Linked DNA regions of Notamacropus eugenii. The protein of the gene in region 2 interacts with the protein of the main gene of each other region in a biochemical or structural test. Links are inferred from orthologs where the notes say so. Each region holds a gene or a part of one and is shown on either strand. Other genes may lie near its edges.

Evidence for each region.
Region 1: of the proteins of AKT1 (region 2) and RICTOR, one has a biochemical effect on the other in vitro, tested with the Homo sapiens proteins (7 studies listed by BioGRID, with this or other methods). The link is inferred for Notamacropus eugenii from reciprocal best matches to the Homo sapiens genes AKT1 and RICTOR.

The regions. Positions count from the first base shown.
Region 1 is NC_092875.1:421,422,798-421,432,494, reverse strand, and holds the start of RICTOR (rapamycin-insensitive companion of mTOR), read right to left. Parts: upstream 4,002-9,697; 5' UTR 3,710-4,001; coding exon 3,661-3,709; intron 3,480-3,660; coding exon 3,432-3,479; intron 3,337-3,431; exon of another isoform or gene 1-3,336. UniProt on the Homo sapiens protein: Component of the mechanistic target of rapamycin complex 2 (mTORC2), which transduces signals from growth factors to pathways involved in proliferation, cytoskeletal organization, lipogenesis and anabolic output.
Region 2 is NC_092872.1:346,209,787-346,219,772, reverse strand, and holds the start of AKT1 (RAC-alpha serine/threonine-protein kinase), read right to left. Parts: upstream 4,445-9,986; 5' UTR 4,324-4,444; intron 3,422-4,323; exon of another isoform or gene 3,313-3,421; intron 1-3,312. UniProt on the Homo sapiens protein: AKT1 is one of 3 closely related serine/threonine-protein kinases (AKT1, AKT2 and AKT3) called the AKT kinase, and which regulate many processes including metabolism, proliferation, cell survival, growth and angiogenesis.

The sequences.
Region 1 (9,697 bases), on a different chromosome or scaffold from region 2:
TAAATAACAGAAAGTAATGTTACAATTTGGACTGATCTCAACTCAATCAATCAACAGACATTTAGTGAAAGTTGGCTCTATGTAATTAACATTATTACTATGTCAGAAGCACTATACTAGCTACTGGGGAAAGTAGTAGACAAAATAAAGACGTTTTCTGACCTCTTAAATAGTTAAGACAATATTTGAATGAACTGCAAAACAAAAAAATCCCTTTCTCCTCTAAGTACTATTCACTTATTACTTTTCACATGCATCTTTAGTGTACACAAATTACTTTTTTCCTATCATATTCAAGGGGTGTATTACAGATACCCATATATGACAGCACACCTAGTGGAAGGGCAACTAGGTAGTGAAGTGGATAGAGTGCTGGGCCTGGAGTCAGGGAGACATCTTCCTGAGTTCAAATCCAGCTTCAGATATTTGCTAGATACTGGGCAGGTAACTTAACCCTGTTTGCCTCAGTTTCTTCATCTGTAAAATGAGCTGGAGAAGGAAATGTCACACCATTCTGCTATTCTTGCCAAGAAAAACCAAAATGAGGTCACAAAGAGTTGGAAACAACAGAACAATTAACACATAGTGAAAAGAAAGAACTTAGAATCAGAAAAAGCTGAGTTCAAATCTACCTCAGACCCTTACTAGCCGTGCGACCATAGTAAAGTAACTTATCCTTTCTAAGTCTGTTTCCTCACCTGTAAAATGGGGATGATAATAACTATAGTTAGCACTTATCCTACGGGATTCAAATGAAATGTGTGTAAATCACTTTACAAACTTTAAAGAACAATAGACCTATCAGCTTATTTTCATATCTAACTGGTTTTGAAAAAAATCTCATATTAATAACGTAATTTCTTCATGTTAGGTATATAATAATTCAGATTCTTCCCCTTCTCTCTTTTAGTTTTGTTTACATAATTCTCATTTTATGTAACAGAGCTAAGATTTATACATATCATATTAACCAAAGCCTCTATTTTACAGAAATAAATGATTTCACGTAAAATACATAAATAACTGAAATTACAGCAAAATTACTAGAGCATTTAAAATGCTGGCACCCCAACCTGATTTTACACAAGACAATCCATTTCACATACATCTGATTCATCCACCCAGACTGCCCTACTATTCTGTTGACTTAGAAAAGGATTCAGGGTCACTACTAAAATGTAATTCCTAACTTTCTTCAGATTGGGTCCACAAATCCTCTTTGCCCAATGAAACAATTACAGTTCTACCCCAGTAATTTTCTGACTTACAGTTTAAAAAATATTTTCACTACGAAAGTGCCAATAAATCTTACAGACCTATTCAAGCAAAACTCCTCTGTAATATAGAATGTTATATTCTCACATCTTATACACTGCTTTTTAAAAATTATTTTCCATTTATTCCCATGTTTAGATTTTGTTATAACTGGACTATATAAAGTTCTCTAGGAGACAAAAACTATCTACTACTTACTTTGAATTATCCCTAAAACAGAATAACTGTGCAAACCACAGGATGCTGACTGCTTCACTACCCATTTTGGCTCTTTGGCCCATCTTTCCATTTCCCACATCCTTCCCTTTTACCTCCTCTCCCCACTTTTCAGCTTTTCCTTATACTTTGTCTTCCTCCCATTAGAATATAAGCTCCTTGAGGACAGGGGATAACTTTCTTTTCATTTATTATATTTGCATTTCCAGCTCTTAGCATGTCCTGGCATATATTAAGCACTTAATAAATGTTTGCTAAGTTGACACAACAACAGGCATTTAATAAATGCTTGCTGGAAAAAACATATGTGAAGTTTAAAAACCAAGGTCTGCTACATAAGAAGGCAAATCTCAGTAAACCAAGCTTACCTGAAATCAAATTTGAACATTCAATTATCAGGTCACCAGTAGTTTAGCCATACACCAAAGATTTGTTCATCAACTATACATACACGATCTCAGTTAACCCACTATGATAAATTACTAAGCCAATTTAAAAGCACGAATTCCATTTGGAGTTAGCCTAATTATCTCTTTTAAAAAAACTGCTCAGATATAAATCAAATCACTAATCAACTACATGCATAAAAGACTAGCATGCTAAGTTTCAGTTTTCTGGGAACTAGATTTATTTTGGTAGAGAAGCTCTGAAGATGGAAGTGACAAACAACACTTTTTTGATTATGTATTTTCCCAGTTATTGCAACTCAAAACATCATATACTTTCCTTACATTCAGAAGACAAAAAGTTTTATAGCAATTATAATGTCCAAGATTTTACTAAAGAGTATCATTTTTCCACTTAGGCGGTGAATTAACTGCTGCTTCTAACACTTAAAAGACTAAATCGTTTTACTTCAAAAATTGTTTTATTTGAAAATAATCCAAATCCTTAGACTCAAAGAATAAACCATTACCTATAAGATAGTTCTATTGTATCTGGACAGCTACATAAGAGCTCAACCTTCCTATCATTCACAACTAACAAGATTTGAAAGAATACTAAAAATACTGAAAACTGTTACACTTACTAGCCTGTGAAGTCAGAAGTAGCCTCAATGGGCAACCTGTAATAACTGAACTCTACGGAATCTACTTTAGATTTTTCTCAATTCTGAAATTGGGACTAAACGAGTGTCTTGAGAGAGTTACGCAGAATTTAAAGTTCAAAGGTTTTTTCCGGCTTCTCGACAGTAAACAAAGCAGACCTCACTGGAGGAGAAGTCTACGTGAAACTGGTGCTACCCTGAGAAGATCGCCTCCCCGATCGCCCGACGCTAGGCAGCGGGGACGCATTCCGACACAGCCGCCGATGGAAGGAATGTCGGGCAAGGGGAGGTCTTTTCAAAATAGAGCTGAGGTTTCTCAGCAGTTCAGACGGCGTAAACAAACCTTCCAGGCTGCAGCCGACGGTAAACAATGAACCTGCAGCGGGTGAGGGGGCGGGCTCTGCCAGCCACCCTCCCGGCGGCTGGACCAGACACCTCGCAGGCAGCAGCCGCACACAAACCTATCGATCCCTCGTTTCCCCCGAGGTGGTGAATAAAGAGCGATCCTGCGTGCTGCGGGGGGTGGGGAGGGGGAAGACGGCAGGATGTGGTCGATCTTCCCCGAGACATCCTCTCGCAACCTAAATAACAGCTTCTTCCCCCCCCTCCCCAGGCCGCCCCCAGGATTGAGGGGCGCAGAGCTGCGGGACAAAGTACATCCTTTCCCCCTTCCGAGTGCCCTGGAGCTGGTCTCCCCCGCTCGCTGCCGCCCACCCGGGGCAGGGGCAGGCGGGGAAGCCGGGACGAGGGAGAGAAGGGGGATGGTTCCCGCAGGGCAGTCCCAGGGCCCGCGGTTCGGACCCAGCACCTCGCCCCTCCCCCCCCCCCCCCCCCCGGGCCCAAGCCCAGGGGCCGCGCGGGCCCGCCCCAGCCGCCGCCCGCCGCTAGTTACCTCGGGTGAGATCCAGCGGGACGTTCTCCTCGCCGCTGTCATTCCGCCCTGCGCGAAACACAGAGAGACCCAGTTAGGACTCGCAGGCCGGCGGCGGCCCCGGCCACAGCCGGAGCCCCGGGCGCAGGCCCCACGCCCGCCCCGCGAGCCCGGGGGGTGGGAGGGGGGGAGGCGGCCCCGAGAGGGGGGGCGCCCGGAGCGGAGGGGAGAGGGCTAGCGGAGGGGTTACCTCGTATCCTGAGGTGCTTCAGCGAGCGGCCGCGGACACTCGCCGCCATGTTGACGGGCTTCAGTCACAACACCGGAAACCTCGCCCAATCGCGCGAGAGCCCCCTTCCCCTCTCCCCCGCCCTCCGCTTCCTTTCCTCCTCCCCTCCCCGCCCTGCGCTCGCCTGGCCTAGCCTCCGCATCCTCGCTCCTCCCCCTCTTCCCTTTCTTATCGCGAGCCAGGCCGGGGCGGGGGCGGGGCGCGGGGCCCAGAGCGGGAAGCCCGGGGCTGGCGGGCGCGCGTGCCTGCGGCGGAGGCGGCGAGGCTGGCCTTAGCAAGACGCCCCCCAGCCCCCTCCCCTGCAGACGAGCGCGTGGCCGCGGGGTGCCCCGCGAGGACCCCTCCCCCACCTCCGCTCCGAGTTCCGAAGGGGAATTCCCCCGGGAGGCTCGCGGGGTGGGCCCCGGCCGGCCGCTTCGTGGCGCGGGGCGAGGCCGCCCACCCGTGCCCGCGTGTTGTGCCTAAGCTGCCCCGTGCTTTGTATTTGTCCGCGAAGAATTTCCTCGCTTCCTTCACGCCACGCCCACCCTCCTGTAAAACACTCTCCTCCCCCCCCCCCTCGTTTTTTCCACTAACTTGAGATTCTGCCGAAGAAAATTGGCTTCATGGGGGGCGGGGGGGGCCTAGCGGAAAGCGGGGTTCACCTGCCGAGCTGGAGCCCCTCGTGTAGTGAGCGCAGTGAGACGTTGGGACGTGCGTGACCCTCGAGGGCAACCCCGCGTGGCACTGCGGAGGACCGGCGAAGACGAGGACTCCATTAGGTAACCTTCGTGCCCACGATGCCCTCCGCGGCTTGTTCGTCCCCTCTAAGTGGTGGACACGTAATTCGTGTTGTTTGCCCGGATCCCGTAACTTGGAGGCTTGTTGGCTAGATGTCATGCCGGGAAGAAGACTTTTAGCTGAGAATGTCAGGAATATAAAGCTTGTCCAGACTTTTTATGCAGCCGTGGAGAATTGGGAGAAAGAACTGCAGTTTTAGGTTGTTTTTTTTTTTTTTTAATTCTCTGGTCTTAATATTATTTCCCTTGAGATGAGCCTAATGTTGGCGATACCATAATGGCCAGCGTCCAAGGGGATGTAAGACTTAATATGGTGTATCGGAAAGGTGGACATCCAAAAACATCCCCTGCTTACAATGCTGTATCAGTTCCAGGATTTGCATAATAAGTATTTAATTTAATTAGTAGTAAGTATTCCTAGAACTCTACCTGCTGCAGTAGCAGAGGGAGGTAGAGGAGGGAGCTGGAAAGTCTGCCCATACTTCCCCTCCTCAGTCCTCGCAACTCTACTGAAATTAGATTGTGGTTACTTTGTATATATTTTCTGTTTACTCATGTATTAGGAGAATTGTACAATGAAGGCCTAGTCTTTAGAACGTAGGCTCTGCCTCTATGGAAGCTTAGTGAGCCGAAATCAATCGCTGAGCAGTTTAAAGTACCAGCTATGTGCCAGGCATGGTGCTAAGCCGGGGAGATACAAAGAAAGGCCCAAGACAGTTCCTTACTCTTGAGGTGCTCGCAGTATTATGGGGGAAGACAACATGCAAACAACCTCCCAAGTCATCTCTCTCTCCTCTCTCTCTCTCTCTCTCTCTCTCTCTCTCTCTCTCTCTCTCTCTCTCTCTCTCTCTCTCTCTGTGGATTTGTGTATGTATATATACAGAAATCAATTGGAAATAATTGGAATATAAATCATAAAATAATTGGATAATCAACAGAGATAAGTCACTGGAATTAAGAAGGATTGTGAAAGGCTTCCTGGGATTTTAACTGCGACTTGAAGGAAGGCAGGAGGCAGAGGTGAGGAGAGAGGGAATGCATAATAAAGGAACCTTTTTTCTCTCTGCTCACATCTGTACCCCATCTCCCCCATCCTCAAAAAACTGTCACTTGATGCATCCATCCTCACTAGCTATTATCCTGTGTCTCTCCTTTTTGTAGCTAAACTCCTTGAGTAGGCAAACTGTCTACTGCAGGTGACTCCCAGTCCTTTTTTCTTTTAACTCTTTGTAGTCTGGATTCTGACTTCACCATTCAAGTGAGAGTGCAGTTTTAGTTCATTCAACTGAAATTCCTGTCTCCAAAGTTACTAGTGATCTCTTAGTTGTCAAATGTAATGGCCTTTTTCTCAAACCTCATTCTTCTTGACCTCTCTGCAACCTTTGACACTGTCTCTCACCTTCCACTTAATGCTGTCTTCTTTCCAGGTTTTTGTGACACTGCTTTCTTCTGGTTCTCCTGCATATCTAAACCCTTTCTCTGCTTCCTTTGCTCCCTACCTGGAGCTCTCTCACTCCTCATTGCTGCCTTTTGGCGTTCCTAGTTCTTTCAAATCTGAGCTAAAGTCCCACCTTCTTAGAGGAGCTTTTCTCAATCCTTAATATTGAGTCTTTCCCTCTAAAAATTATCTCAATTTGTTTTGTATATCACTGGTTTGGACAGAGTTCTTAACACAATGTCTCATTGAAAGCAGGGACTATCTTTAACCTTTCTCTTTAACTTTACCCCCAGCACTTAGCCCAGTACCTTACACATAGTAGATACTTAATAAATGCTAGTTGAGTAATTGATTGGCTTTAGAGCAGTCCCTGATATTTTCTTTTTCCTGTCTTCTTATGCATGATGGTAAAAAGGCTTTAATTGGCTACTGAGCTGGAATTGAGAGTGCATATGAAAGCAAGGAACAGACCAGTTCTCACTCTCTTCCCAGGTGGCCACTGAGAAGCTGGAATTGCTGTGGGCTTCTGGTTAGGATAGCAGCCTCACTCCCTGATTTGGCTGTGAACACATGTTGCTGTTTCTTCTGTCTTAGCCATATTTCTTTTTTCCTAACTTTAGGTGACTGAATATCAAAGATAGAGTGGAAAAAGGTATGACCTTGTGAGCTTTTAAAATCAGAACCATCAAGTTGGTTACAGTCTTGCTGTTGGAGTACCTAATCTGTGAGGAGCCAACTCTGAAGAGGTACCAGCTTAACCCAATGAATTAATCAATCTGGCATGAGAGACACCACATCCTTCAAGCTAGGAAGCAAGTCATCCTTCTGCTACACCATACCTAGAAGTTGTTGTTGTTGTGTTTATAGTTTGTTCTTGAGGAGGACAGTGACATCAGGATGATGACATGACTTGTAGTTGACTTTGATTTGAGGGAGGGAGGGCTGTGCAAGGTCACCAACCTCACTTACTCACAACCTTACTTCTCCTGAGCCATCTGTGTCCAGTAAATTTGATGGAAGGAATATTTTGTAACAATCACTTTTAGGTTTAGAACTGGAGTAATAGTGAAGAGTGTACTCCCATTTTGGGTTGTGCTTAGGTCCTTGACCTATATTCTTTGAAAATATCCCTTGTAACACCAGTTAATGATAATGAGGGTGTTAATTAGCTACTGATATTGGATAAAACACACCAGATAGAGGTTCATAAGCAACAGTACTAGAGGAAGGCACTCAGCCCTCAGTGTTAGCTATGCAGCGGAGAAACTAATTGCCAAGGCCATGAGGGTTCAGAAACTGAGCCCAAAGACATAGGTTCATCTTTCATGTTCATCCTTGCCTTCTTTTTCCCCCTTCCCTCTTATTATAGAGTGTAAGTTTCTCAAGGACATGAACTGTAATTTTTTTTTTTTATTTTTGTTTCTCCAGTGTAAGTATAGGGCTTGGCAAGTAGTAAGAGGTTTAAATATATTATGCACACATATGTATATCCATACTGTGATGGGACAAGCATTTTTCTGAAGTAAATTCCTTTGACTCCAGTTTACCTGATGCAGCTTCCTTGCCTTCCACTCCCCTTCCCCTTATAGCCAACATAAGATAGAGCTAGGACCAAGCTAATTCTGGGGTCTAATATCTCTTCTCTTACCTCCCCTTCCATAATGCAGCTTTTTAAGGGCATAAAAACCCCTATCCTTACTGCATTTTCTTGCTATTTTAGGGCAAAGTAAACCTCTTGTTAAATGTCCAGTGACTTGTCCATGCTTCCTTTTATCAAACCTGGACTAAGAGTGGAGTGACTCATACATTTAATGTAGTTTTGGCAGATCAGGATTAGATGAAAAGGCTTCATGGCTCAAATAGTGTTTGAGTTGGGGGAAGAACCCTGAAATGTGGAGGAGGAGGGTCACGTGATCAGATGGCAGGACATTCCCTGACTCCCTCTTGACAGAGCTCTCCTGATTGTCTATGGAGAGTCCTCTCTGTGGGTAGAGGAATTAGATTATTGGATACTGGAGAAGGCTGCTGACAGGGTAAAGAAAATGTCAAGACCAGCACTCCCTGGATGTTGTTGACTGCTCTAAGTAAGTTGGATTGTGAGTGCAGTCAAATAGAGTAAAATGGCCTGGTACATTCAGCAGCAGCTAAAAACAGAACTCTCAGCTTTCAGGGACCATGCAATGAAAGTCAAGAGACAGCTAATACAACTAGTGACTGCACATGTGAAGAGATCTCTCTCAAGGGGTACTGAGGGTTTCCTGCAAAGAATCAACCCTATGATCTCTGATCTAAAGGTTCAGGTTCCTGCTGATTGGAGCCATGGGACTAGAGGAGAGCAGACTTGGGGCAGAGGCTGGGGCACTCCCACCCAGGGTAAGGAAGGTTCAGGCTTATCTTGTCACTACTCATAGGAGGGCAGGCAGGTAGTGCAGCTTATAGAGCACCAACCTTGGAGTCAGGTGGACCTGTATTCAAATTCTACCTCAGACACTTACTAGTTGTGTGATGACGCTGTTTGCCTCATTTTCTTCATTTGTAAAATTAGCTGGAGAAAAAAATGGCAAACCACTCCAGTAATTTTGCCAAGGAATACCCTAAATGGAATCACAAACATTTGGACACAACTGAAAGAATTTAACAACTCTTAGGAGGAGGATAGTGACTTCCTATCTTGAAGGCTCAGGAGATGGGTCCCTGTTCAGTGGGAGAGGGTTCAGTTGCTTTCTGGGGATTTTCAAACAGAAACTTGAGGAGTCCCTAGGTGTGTTCTAATGGAACCTACATCAAGAGCCTCTCTGCTGTGGACTTTCCATAGCCTCAGATAATTCTCTGAACTCTTATTTTAAAGCGTGAACTACATTTGCTTTTAAAAGAAATATATTGTTTCTTTTTAGATGGCTGATAAGATTATTCACACCTGGCCTTATAAAGATGGCAGCCAGCTCACAGTTGGGGATCTACAAGGGAGTTGGTGATATTCCTAAATGAAATGGATTTAATAAATTGGATTTATGCATTCCCCTAAGCCCAAGCGTTCTGTGTAGAGCTCTGCCCAAATAGTTTCTGACTTTAGCTAGGTTCTCCTCCACCACGCAACCATACAGGTGTGGGTTGATCAATTATTGAAATCTAAGCAGGAGCTCTGGATAGATGTGACTTGGGCAAATATTTTTGTCCATGCAAAAAGATACTCTAAGATTTGAGGGAGAAGTCTCAACCCAACACTGCCATGCTAGGTGGTCAGAGACCAATTCACCATTCTCAGGAGGGGCGTTTAGGTGTGGCTACTGAAACTTCAGGTTGATAAAGCAATTGATGACCAGGCCTTTGAGGCCCAGTAAATTTAAGTTCCAGGGCTCTAGAGGCCCTTTAGTCTTACCCAAGCCTGAGGTATTATCTAAGGCAGGGCTTCTTAAACTTTTTCCACTCACCACCCTTTTTTGCTGAGAAATTTTTGTGACCTGGGTATACAGATACATAAAATAGTTATACAAATCAAGCATTTACTGATCAGAAATCATAAAGAAATTTATTTTAAAACAATTCTTTGGTTTACATGTAATTTTACCATTTATTAAAGATGAAAGCAGATTTGCCTACTAAGGAGATGCATGTGCTTATTTAATTTTACATAAAAAATTAAATCTTAGTGGAGTATTTGATACTGAAGGACATGAAACATCTTCAGAATTTTTCAGAGTTGATTGATATTTTGATTTTATAATCATCAATTCTGAGCACACTGCTTTGCATAAATACATAGTACAAAATGGCAGAAGTA
Region 2 (9,986 bases):
GAAAACCAGTCAGGAGGCTACTATAATAGTAAGTCCAGATGAGAGATGATGAGAGGCTGACTTTGCACTAATTCCAGAGAAGGGGATATATGACAGACTGTGGAGGTAGATATAGGACTTGGTGAGTAATTGGATGTGGAGGTGATATAGACAGAAAAAATTACAAGGATCTCAGAGGTCTCAAGTCTGGGTGATAGGGAGGACAGTGGGAGGCTGGTGACCTTGCACAGCCCTCCCTCACTCAAATCAAAGTCAACTGCAAGTCATGTCATCATCTTGATGTCATAGTACTCTTTGAGAATGAAGGACAAACACAACAAGAAGTCTCTGACACCCAAGAACAAGGAAATTGGGAGGAAGGACGGGTAAGGGAGGGAAGATGAGTTCATTTGGGGACCTGGTGAGTTTGAAGAGACAGTGGGGTATCCAAAATAAAGATACTCTTTAGGAGATGTGGCCTACAGGATGGTAGAAGGCAACTTTGTACATCTTGGACTTCAAATTCCAGGAAACTTCATCGTCATCTTTCATCTCCCTTACACATTACCACGTATATAATTACCTCCATTTGTGTCTTATTACCCTCAGACTGTCACCTCTATGAGAATAAAGACTGTCTTTTCCAAATCTTGTTATCTCCCTTAATACTGTGCACAAGCCTCTGTACTGAGTAGGCATTTAATAAGTGTCTGTTTATTGATCTTTGCAGTGGTGGCAGATTATGGGTGTGGTACATTTCATATAACTATCAGCCTCAGTTGATAAAACAGTTAATATTGCTACAAAGGGCTGATTCTCAAGGGATAGGAGAGAGGGATGTATTTGGAAATGAAGGTGATAAAAAAAGATATAAAAGAAAAACTCTGAACATTGAAAAAAAAAAGATCAGTCATTCAACAAGAATTATTAAGCCCTCAATCTATGACACAGTAGATACAAAGAGAGGCAAAAATTGTCCCTGCCCCAAAAGGAACTCACGTTCTAATAAAGAGGCAAAGAGATAAGTAGCTACAAGATACACAACTTTAGTAGGAAGGATCTAGCAACTTTGGGGGATTGAGAAAGGCCTCTTGCAGGTAGTGTTTGAGTGGAGTCTTAAAGGAAGCCAGGGGGATTCTATGTGGCAGAAATGAGGAGGGAGAGCATTCCAGGCATTTGGGAGGAAGGGGAGGGAGGTAGGGAGCAGCCAGTGCTGAGACAAAGAGATGGAGTGTTGTATTTGAGAAACAGTGGGTTGTTTATTGAACGAAATTAGAGGATCCTGCCAAGTAAGACTATGGAGAAGAAAACTTTATGGACTGCACCTTAGAGGATACCCACATTATGGAGTCGGAAAGAAGATGGAAACAAACTAAGACTGAATCCAGAAAAAGAGGGTGATCAGTGTTCAAAAGCTATAAGAGAGGTGGAGAGGACTGAGAAAAAAAACTGTACCAAAGGCCTGTCGTTGGCTCCCTGCGGGAAGGGGAGGGGAAAAAGGAGAGGCACTCCCCCACCCAGAAACACTCAAGTCTCACCCAGTGCAGATAATTGCATGGACATCAGAGGTGGGGGGTGAGACACAAAATCCAAACACGCCAAAAAGTTATTCCCTTAAAATTAGTCTACACCCTGAGCCACCCTAGAATCAAGAGGCATTCTCTCCAAACAGCTGAAGGCCTCTTTTGGGCAGAACCTAGCTCACCATGCGACCCTAGGCAAGTCACAAGCACTGTGGACTTGTTTCCTCACCTGTAAAAAGGTAAGGAAATAATAAAGCCTGCCCCACCCCCTCTTACGGTAAAAGTTGAATGAAGTAATAGGTAGGAAAGCATTTGGGGAAACCAAGGGACTAGAAACAAACATTGTCCCACTCACTGGTCGAACTCTCAAGAGGCCCAGCATCTGTATATTTATTATAAGATGCCTTGCAAACTTTAAAGCCCTATATATAAATGCTAGCAGTTATTGTTATTAAGTCCTACCTTCTCCAGGAAGCCCTTCTAGACTACTACAACTTGTGCTGACCTCTCCCTTCCTGACCAAGTGCACTAGTTCTGAAGTCCCGTTTTACATATGATCTTGCATCATATATTGTTTACAAAGGCAGTCTCCAGACAGAATGCCCAGACGCACAGATCACATCTCTCCTTCTGATCTCTCCCCTGGTCAGAGCTGAGCACAGAACCAGACACACAAACTCAATGCAGAGTAAGGCAGCACAGCACACTTGCTAGCTTGTGGTCATGGACAAACCATTTCCCCTCTCTAGGCCTCAGTTTTCTTATCTGTAAAATTAGACTGCTTACAGCACAGTTGTGAAGAAAGTGCTTTGTGAACCTAAACACATTAAAGACCATTCAAAGGGTGAGGATGAAGGTGTGAAATTTTCCAGGTTTCAAGAACAAGCTTGATGGGACCTAGAGATTAGTAGAAACTGAGAATCTCCCAACTCTTCCCTGGAGCTGTGCAGACCCCAAAGTTGCCCTCAAAAGACTAGCGGCTTTATAAATTCAAAATCAAACAACAAGGATTAAAAACTTGCTACGTGGAAAGAATCCTGTGGTCTGTGCTGAGATATGAACTTAAATGAGTCCCTCATGAAGCTCACAGACCGACAACAGCTGGAATGGCAAAAGAAATAGTTCAGAAAGGATAGGTGTCTTAAGAACCACCAAGTTATTCATGTCTTTCCCAAATACACACACCCACACAACCAACCTTCTCATCAGTGTGCAACCTGGCAACTCCTTGGTAACTTACAGTTGAAGACAGTTGCCTGAGGCAGTGAGAAGTTAGGCTTTGTGATCACACAATGAGCATGTGTCAAGAGGCAGGATTAGAACCCAGATCTTGGCAGTCTTTCATTCAAAGTACTTCAAGCAATGGCTCTCACAATCTAAAGGATGATCCTCTTTTAGAACTAATGAAACTGGCACAGAGCGCTGTGACTGGCCAAGGTGGTAGCTGGGCTGAAAACAAGTTTCTTAATTCCTCAACAAGCACTCTTTCCAGCCTATCCCCTCCACCCCACATAATAATAATGGACTCTATTTACCCCCCGCTGATAGATGAGGAAACTGAGGTGGAGAAAGGTAATTACTGAGGAAAGGTCATATTGTAAGTGAATACATTAACGACAAAAATAATCCTTCCTCACAGGTACAAGATGCTTTATAGCTTCCAAAGCACTTTCCCTTCCATTCTCTCATTAAATCCTCACAATAGGAGGCAAGGCGGTGAATCCTCCTCTCCCCACAGCCTAGTAAATAAAGACCTGCCAGTCAAGGGCCACCAGAGGCCAGCCCCAATTTACCCACCCAGGAATCTCACCTCTACAGTTAATTCCAGCTGTTTACTGTCCCCTCCATGAAGCCGTTCTCCACCCCTCAGCTAAGTCATCTCTCCCTCTTCCAATTTCTGCCTTTTAGACTGAAAAGCCCCGTCATATTCTCTCTTGAATCAATTATTTGGAGACAAGTCTTTTCCCTCTGTTAGACTGCAAGCTTCCTGAGAGAAGGGCATGCCAGGCTTCTTTGTATTCGAAGTGTCAACCGCAGGGTCCTGCCCACAACAGGCACTTCACATTTGCAGAACTGAATTTTACAGACCTAGACAAGTGAATCGATTTGCCCAAGGTCACACAGAAGAGACACGAGAGATGGGACCAGCACCCAGGGCTGTCCAGCAAAGTCTGATGCCGGGGATTTCGAGGAGCAAATCTTCCCCAAGCCCTGGCAGGGGCTCCCCTGGGGTGGCTAATCCGGTGTGGCCCAGCTCCCCGGGAGCCCCACGCCTCCCTAGGTGGGCACCTCAGGATGTGTGCCCCCGGGTCCCTTCCCGGGGGGAGGAGGGGAGGGATGGCACGCCGGCCGGCCCAGGCTCGCTCCCGGCCCCCAGCCCCGGCGCGCCCCGCCACGCCCCCCGCCAGCGGGCCGAGGGCGCCAGGAGCCTTGCGCTCGCAGGTCTGGGCTCCGGGGCCCGGCTGGCTTGGGGCGGCCAACAGCTTCCTGTTCGCTAATCGCAGGATACGGCGGCGGTGGGGAGAGGAGAGAAGGTCGGGGAGGAGAGGCGGGCAGAGGCGGGAGGGCAGCCAGCCCGGCCCCGCTTCCTTTTTTTTTTTTTTTGCACAAAAGGAAACACAAAAAGCCACGTCCCGGGGCGCAACCCCGTGGAACAAAGCGCCCGCGCCCTGGCCGCGCCGTGCCGCGGGTCTTGCGCCCGGGCGCACCAGGCCGGACCCCCGCCCCCGCGCCATGCGCCCCCCCTCTCCCGGCCCTGGGGCGCAGGAGGACGGGCTTCCCGACCCCGCAGGCCGCCGGCTCGGCCGGGATGCGCGCTTACCTGCGGAGAGCCGGGCCTGGCCAGGCCCCGGGTGGAGGGGGGGGTCTGTGCCGCTGGCGGGGCGCGGGCCTAGCCGGGCCGGGGCCGCCTCCCGCTCCGCATGCCAGTCCGCTCCGGGGCGGGGGGCTGGGGGCGGGGGGCGCGGCGCCTCCCCTCCCTCCTCCCCTCCTCCCGGGCCCCGGACGCCGCCGCCGCCGCCGCAGCCGGGATTGGCCGGGCCGGGGATCCAGCTGTGGCAGCCGCTGTTACAGCTGCCGAGTCCGGCTAGCCTGCCCTCCTCCCCCCTCCCCCTCCTCCTCCTCCTCCTCCTCCTCCTCCCGCCGGATCCGGGGCCGGGCGGGGGCTGGGCCGCGCTGGGGGCGCAGGGTCCGGCCGGGGAGGGCAGGAGGGAGGGGCGGCCCGGAGAGCCACCCCCCGGCCGCCTGCAGCGCTCTGGGCTGGGGCTACCGCGGCCCGGGCGGGCGAGGGGGGGGCGCGAGTCCGGGCGCGGGGCCTCCGGATCCCTCCAGCGCGTCCGGCTCCTCCTCCGCCCTGGCGCCCCGGGCTCACGCTGCCCTGCACACACGCTCCCCCACACTCACACACTCACAAACACAGACACACACCGCCCCGGCTAGCGCGCCCGCCCTCCCCTTTCCCCGCCCTCCCCCAACTATGCAGCCAACATCCGCCCGGCTCCTCCCCGCCTCCTTCTTCCTCTTTTCCCTCCTCCCCCTTCCCTTTCTCGTCCTCCTCCTCGTCTCCCTTCTCTTTTTCATCCTCTTCTCCTTCCTCTTCGCTCTCTTCTCCCCGCTCTCCCTTCCTCCTTTTCCTCCTCCCCTTACGGGGTCTTAGGAACACAGACTGTGACCTTGGCCATTATCCAGCCCAAGCCCCTCATTTGACAAATGAGGGAACTGAGTCTGAAAGGTTAAACAGGAGTAAAGCCCACTCCTTCCTCTTGTCTACTCCCATCTTCATCAGCTTTTAGCCCTAAGTTTGTTTTAGATTTGAATTTAGAACTGAAAAGAAGCTTGCTGGTCCTCTGTTAGATAGCCCCCTCTTTTTACAAGTAATAAAATAGCTGCTGCTGTGGCCAGACGCTTTGTAATCAATCATCTCATTGGATCCTCATGACAGTCCCAGGAGATCATTGCTATTATTAGCCCCATTTTGCAGGTGAAGAAACTGAGGCCCAGCGTTTAAGTGACCTGCCCAGGGCCACGTAGGTAATAAGTAACAAAGCTAGACTTTGAAAACCATTTGTTTTCCAGGGGAAGGAGAATAATTATACAGTTTCCCCACCCACACCAGGACCGGAATGTTTTGGCAAAAAGCTGGGAAATGCAGAATTCCCTACGTCTGATTCATGGCACTTCCAGATTGATGAGGGTGAAGATAAAATTGACATACAGGTCTATTACCCATTCTAAGAAAGTCCCTGCTCGACCTGGCTCTGAGAATGACCCAGCCTAGCCAGAGTAAGAATTTCTATTATAAGCAAGATGCTCCAGAAAAAGAAGACTGGGAGAGAACTTATTTGGCTAGCTAATGGAGCCAACACCATTGGACCCCTGAGCTATGAGACTAAACTGACACCAAGGACTGAACCTAAGGTTTAGGCAGGGGGGAAAGGAGACTCAGGAACAAGGCAGTGGACCCCTGGACCAGTCTTTTCTGTCTTCTGCCCTTTCACTGGAGAGAAGGATATGACCTAAGCCCCTGGATGCTGGTACTATGTTCAGTTCAGATATATAGGGGAGACGGAAAAGGAATAATCTTGGGCAGACCTTGTCCTCAGGAGAACTCACAGTCTAAGGGTGAGGAAGAGACTTATCCATGAAAGACAAAACAATTCATGGTAATTTCTAACTGAGTGCTACTAACTAGAAGCTATGAAAAAGGATCAATCAGTCAGGTGGGAGGAGAACCAGGAAAGAGACTTGTCATGAAAACCTAGAGAGAGGAGAATATCCAGGAAAAGAGGGTGAAAGCCAGTGTCAAACGCATCAGAGAAGTCATGAAGCATGAAGATTGTTACATTTGTCAATTAAGAGATCATTGGTAACTTTGGAGAAAGGCATTTTGGTTGAGCCAGACTGCAGAGAGTTGAGAAGAAAGTGAGACATGTATGATTGATATTGCATTTTTTGCCTTCTTAAGAGGGAGGGGGGGAAAGGTGGGAGGGACCAAATTTGGAATTCAGTTTTAAAAAATGAATTCTAATAAATAAGTTTTAAAGAAATACATATTTATTGAGCACTACACTAGAAATAGAAGAAACAAAGTTTAGATAAGACACGACTCCTGTTCTCTTAAAGGTCTCCTGCTCTTTAGGAGAGGGATGTGATGAGAATAAAATGTGTCTCAAGCAGGTTTTCTTAACTTGAGATCCATAAACTTGTTTGCTTTTGCTTTTTTTGTTTTGTTTTTGCCAACTATTTAAATAATCACGACTTCTTTAAAAAAAAGAAGAAGAAGAAAGTGAGAGGAAAGGAAATGGAGGCATCCATTGTAGTGAACCTTCTCAAGGAGGTTAGCCAGGGAAGGGAAGAGACAGAATGATTATTAATGGGGAGGGATGGATTAAATGAGAGACTTTTGAGGATGGAAGAAAGACGGGTGTGTTTGTAAGCATTGGGAAAGTTGTCAGTAGATGGAGAAAGATTGAAGATTAGATAGGGAGTATGGATGATGGAGAAAATCTGCTGGAGAAAAAAAATGGGATAGAGAGGGAGAAGGGGCCATCTCTTCACGTGTGGCTGAGGTGAGGGAAGAGGCAGTGGGTGCAAATGTCTGGAGAAATAGCTTCTGAGGAAAGACTTCATTCATTCAGTGAAATAAAAAGCAAGGTTCTTAGCGGATAGGGGGGATACACAGGAAACTGAAACAGCTAAACAGGCTTACTTACTATGCCTGGTACACAACATTCCATTTCCCATCTCCTTGAAGTGGAGAGAGTGCTAGGCCTGAAATCCGAAAGACTTGAGTTGGAGTCATACACTAACATTTACCTCAGTTCCCTCATCCATAGAAATGGATATTATAATAATAGTGTATCTCCCAGGGTTGCTGTGAGGATCAGATGAGATGATAAATGTAACTCACTTACCACACTGCCTGGCATATAGTAAGCACTCAATAATTTCAGTCAAGTTCAACTCTTCCTGATGTCATTTGGGGTTTTCTTGACAAAGATATTAAAATGGTTTGCTATTTCTTTCTCCAGCTTATTTTACAGATGAGGAAACTGAGGCAAACAGGGTGAAGTGACTTGCCCAGGGTCACACAGCTAAAGCCAGATTTGGACTCAGGAAGAGGAATCTTTGTGACTTCAGGCCCAGCACTCTATCCACTGGGTCACCTAGCTGCCCAAGCACTATATAAAATTAGTTTTTATTATTATTGTTATTCCATCCTGGGAATGCAGCCCCACCTCACTTCTTACAATCCTTAGTTTCTTTTGAAGTTCTAGTCATGTGGAACCTCCTACATGAGACTTTTCCTATAACCCCAGCTGCTATTTTGTATTGGCTTCAATGTGCATGTGTTGTTTTCCCAATAGAATAAAAATTCCTTTAGAGTAAAGACTGTTGTCTTTTCTCCTTTATGTCCCAGGTGCATAGCACAGCACTTGATACACAGTAGATGCCTTGTGTATTGTAGGCACAGAATATATCTTCATTGAATTTGTACATTCTTGAAAGGTACATTATGAACGGAATTGTCTTAAATGGAGACCTATTTACCCACTGATTTACAGGATCCTCCAATTAGAAGTAATGTCACCCTCCTTAAAACCTTAGAGTTAAATGGGTGCAGTATTCTTATATGAAAGAAAGCACCGCTTACAGCTTCAGGGAAAGCCCCTTCAACTTTGGATGTCAGCATCCTTATCTGTAAAATCCTAGAGTAAAAGGTCAAACAACAATAACAAAATGGGCATGATAATACTGGTACAACCAATTTCACAAGTGGGTGGTGAGGAAATGCTTTGTAAACTCTAAAGCACTCTAAAAACATAAGTTATCATTTTATTGTGGCCCTACTCACATTCGGTCTTGGTTTCAAGTTATCATACACACGTCCTTTTCTTCCTTCTTAATTCCAAGTTCCCTGAGGGAAGATCTTATCCTTCTCTGCATCCTTTACCCACTGTGAGTTCCCCAAGAATAGAGCCAGGTTCTGCCCTTCTTCCTAATTCTCGGTAAGTGAAATCCAGGAATGGGTACACAATTGGGAGAGAGGAACTGAAAGACTCAGGTGATGTTTGCTGAATGAATGAAAGAAGCGAGCTCTAATCTCACAGTTTCAGACTCTATAGCAAGCACATGGGTGAGATGTTTTAGAATGGATAGGGATAGGGGTCCTGAGACCCTCAAAATACTCTAATAGACCAGAATCCTCCATAGACTCATATACTATCAAACATGGATCTTAGACCATAGACTTAGAGCTGGAAGGGACCTTAGACTAAAGAATCACAAAACTGAGTAGGTCATTATAGTATAAAATATGAGTTGAAAAGGATTCTTAGTTCAAGCCTGTTATTTTGCAAATGGGGAAACCCAGAGAGGGCCAGTGACATATCGAAGGTCATACAGTGATTTAATGACAAAGTCAAGACTAAAACCCCAGTTTCTTGGTCAGTGCTTTCACATCACAGCCTGGACTGACATAACTCCCTTCTCTTGGCCTGAATATGCTAAACACAGCAATGGGTTGGGGGTTGGGGGTGAATGGAAGGGAATATGAATTCCGATTTGACAAGAACTTACTGGGGAAACTCAAAAGCAGTTTTGGCAAGAATTACACTTCTATTACACTTCTACTGGTATCTTACACCATATACCTGTTCTAAGCCTAAAATGGTCCTGAGGGTCTAGCAAAAATCTTTTGGGATAAAATTGGCAACTTTTTCCATTCCTTTCTTATTTCTCTCACTCTAACTTGAGTTGTCTAGAATAAGACCTTACAACAACATCTGGCCATCCCTCCCAGCTGGACCCTGATACTTGGGGCCCAAATCTGATTTACACTTTGCTCTGGACCTGTGACTATCAGCCTTCCTGAGTAAACAATCAGGCAACAGCTCCCCACAGCCCCACAGCCCCATATCAAGGGCAGGGCAGAGTCAAGGCCTTGACCATAGTCGAGGGGAGGGGGGCAGAGCTTGAGAACACTGTCTCTCTAGGACCCAGAAGGGAATTTGTGAACATCTTGAATTCTGACAAAATTTTTTTTAATTATCCCAAGCCTCCACAAAAACAAACAAAATAAACTGTGTTTGTAATTCAGTAGCTGTACTTGGGTGAAGTCCAGCAATTAAACACCAGAAATCAAACAGTCACGGTCATAGGTCACAAGATTTAGAGTTGGAAGGAACTTTAGAGATAACCTCGTCATTTTACAGATGGGGAAATAGATTCGGAGAAGGGCATGGACTTACCCAAAGTCACATTAGTTGCCAAGTTTAGCACTTTCCACAATATATTTTTATATATTACCTTCTCATTTAAGCCCCACAATGACCCTGTAAGGTAGAGCATACTACAGTCCCTGTTTTATGGAAGAAGAAACTAAGACCTAGAGAGATCTATTCAAGCTCACCAAAGGACCAGAACTGGAATTGGAATCTATTCCCTATGACTTCAAATCCAATACTATTGCCACCATATCTCCAC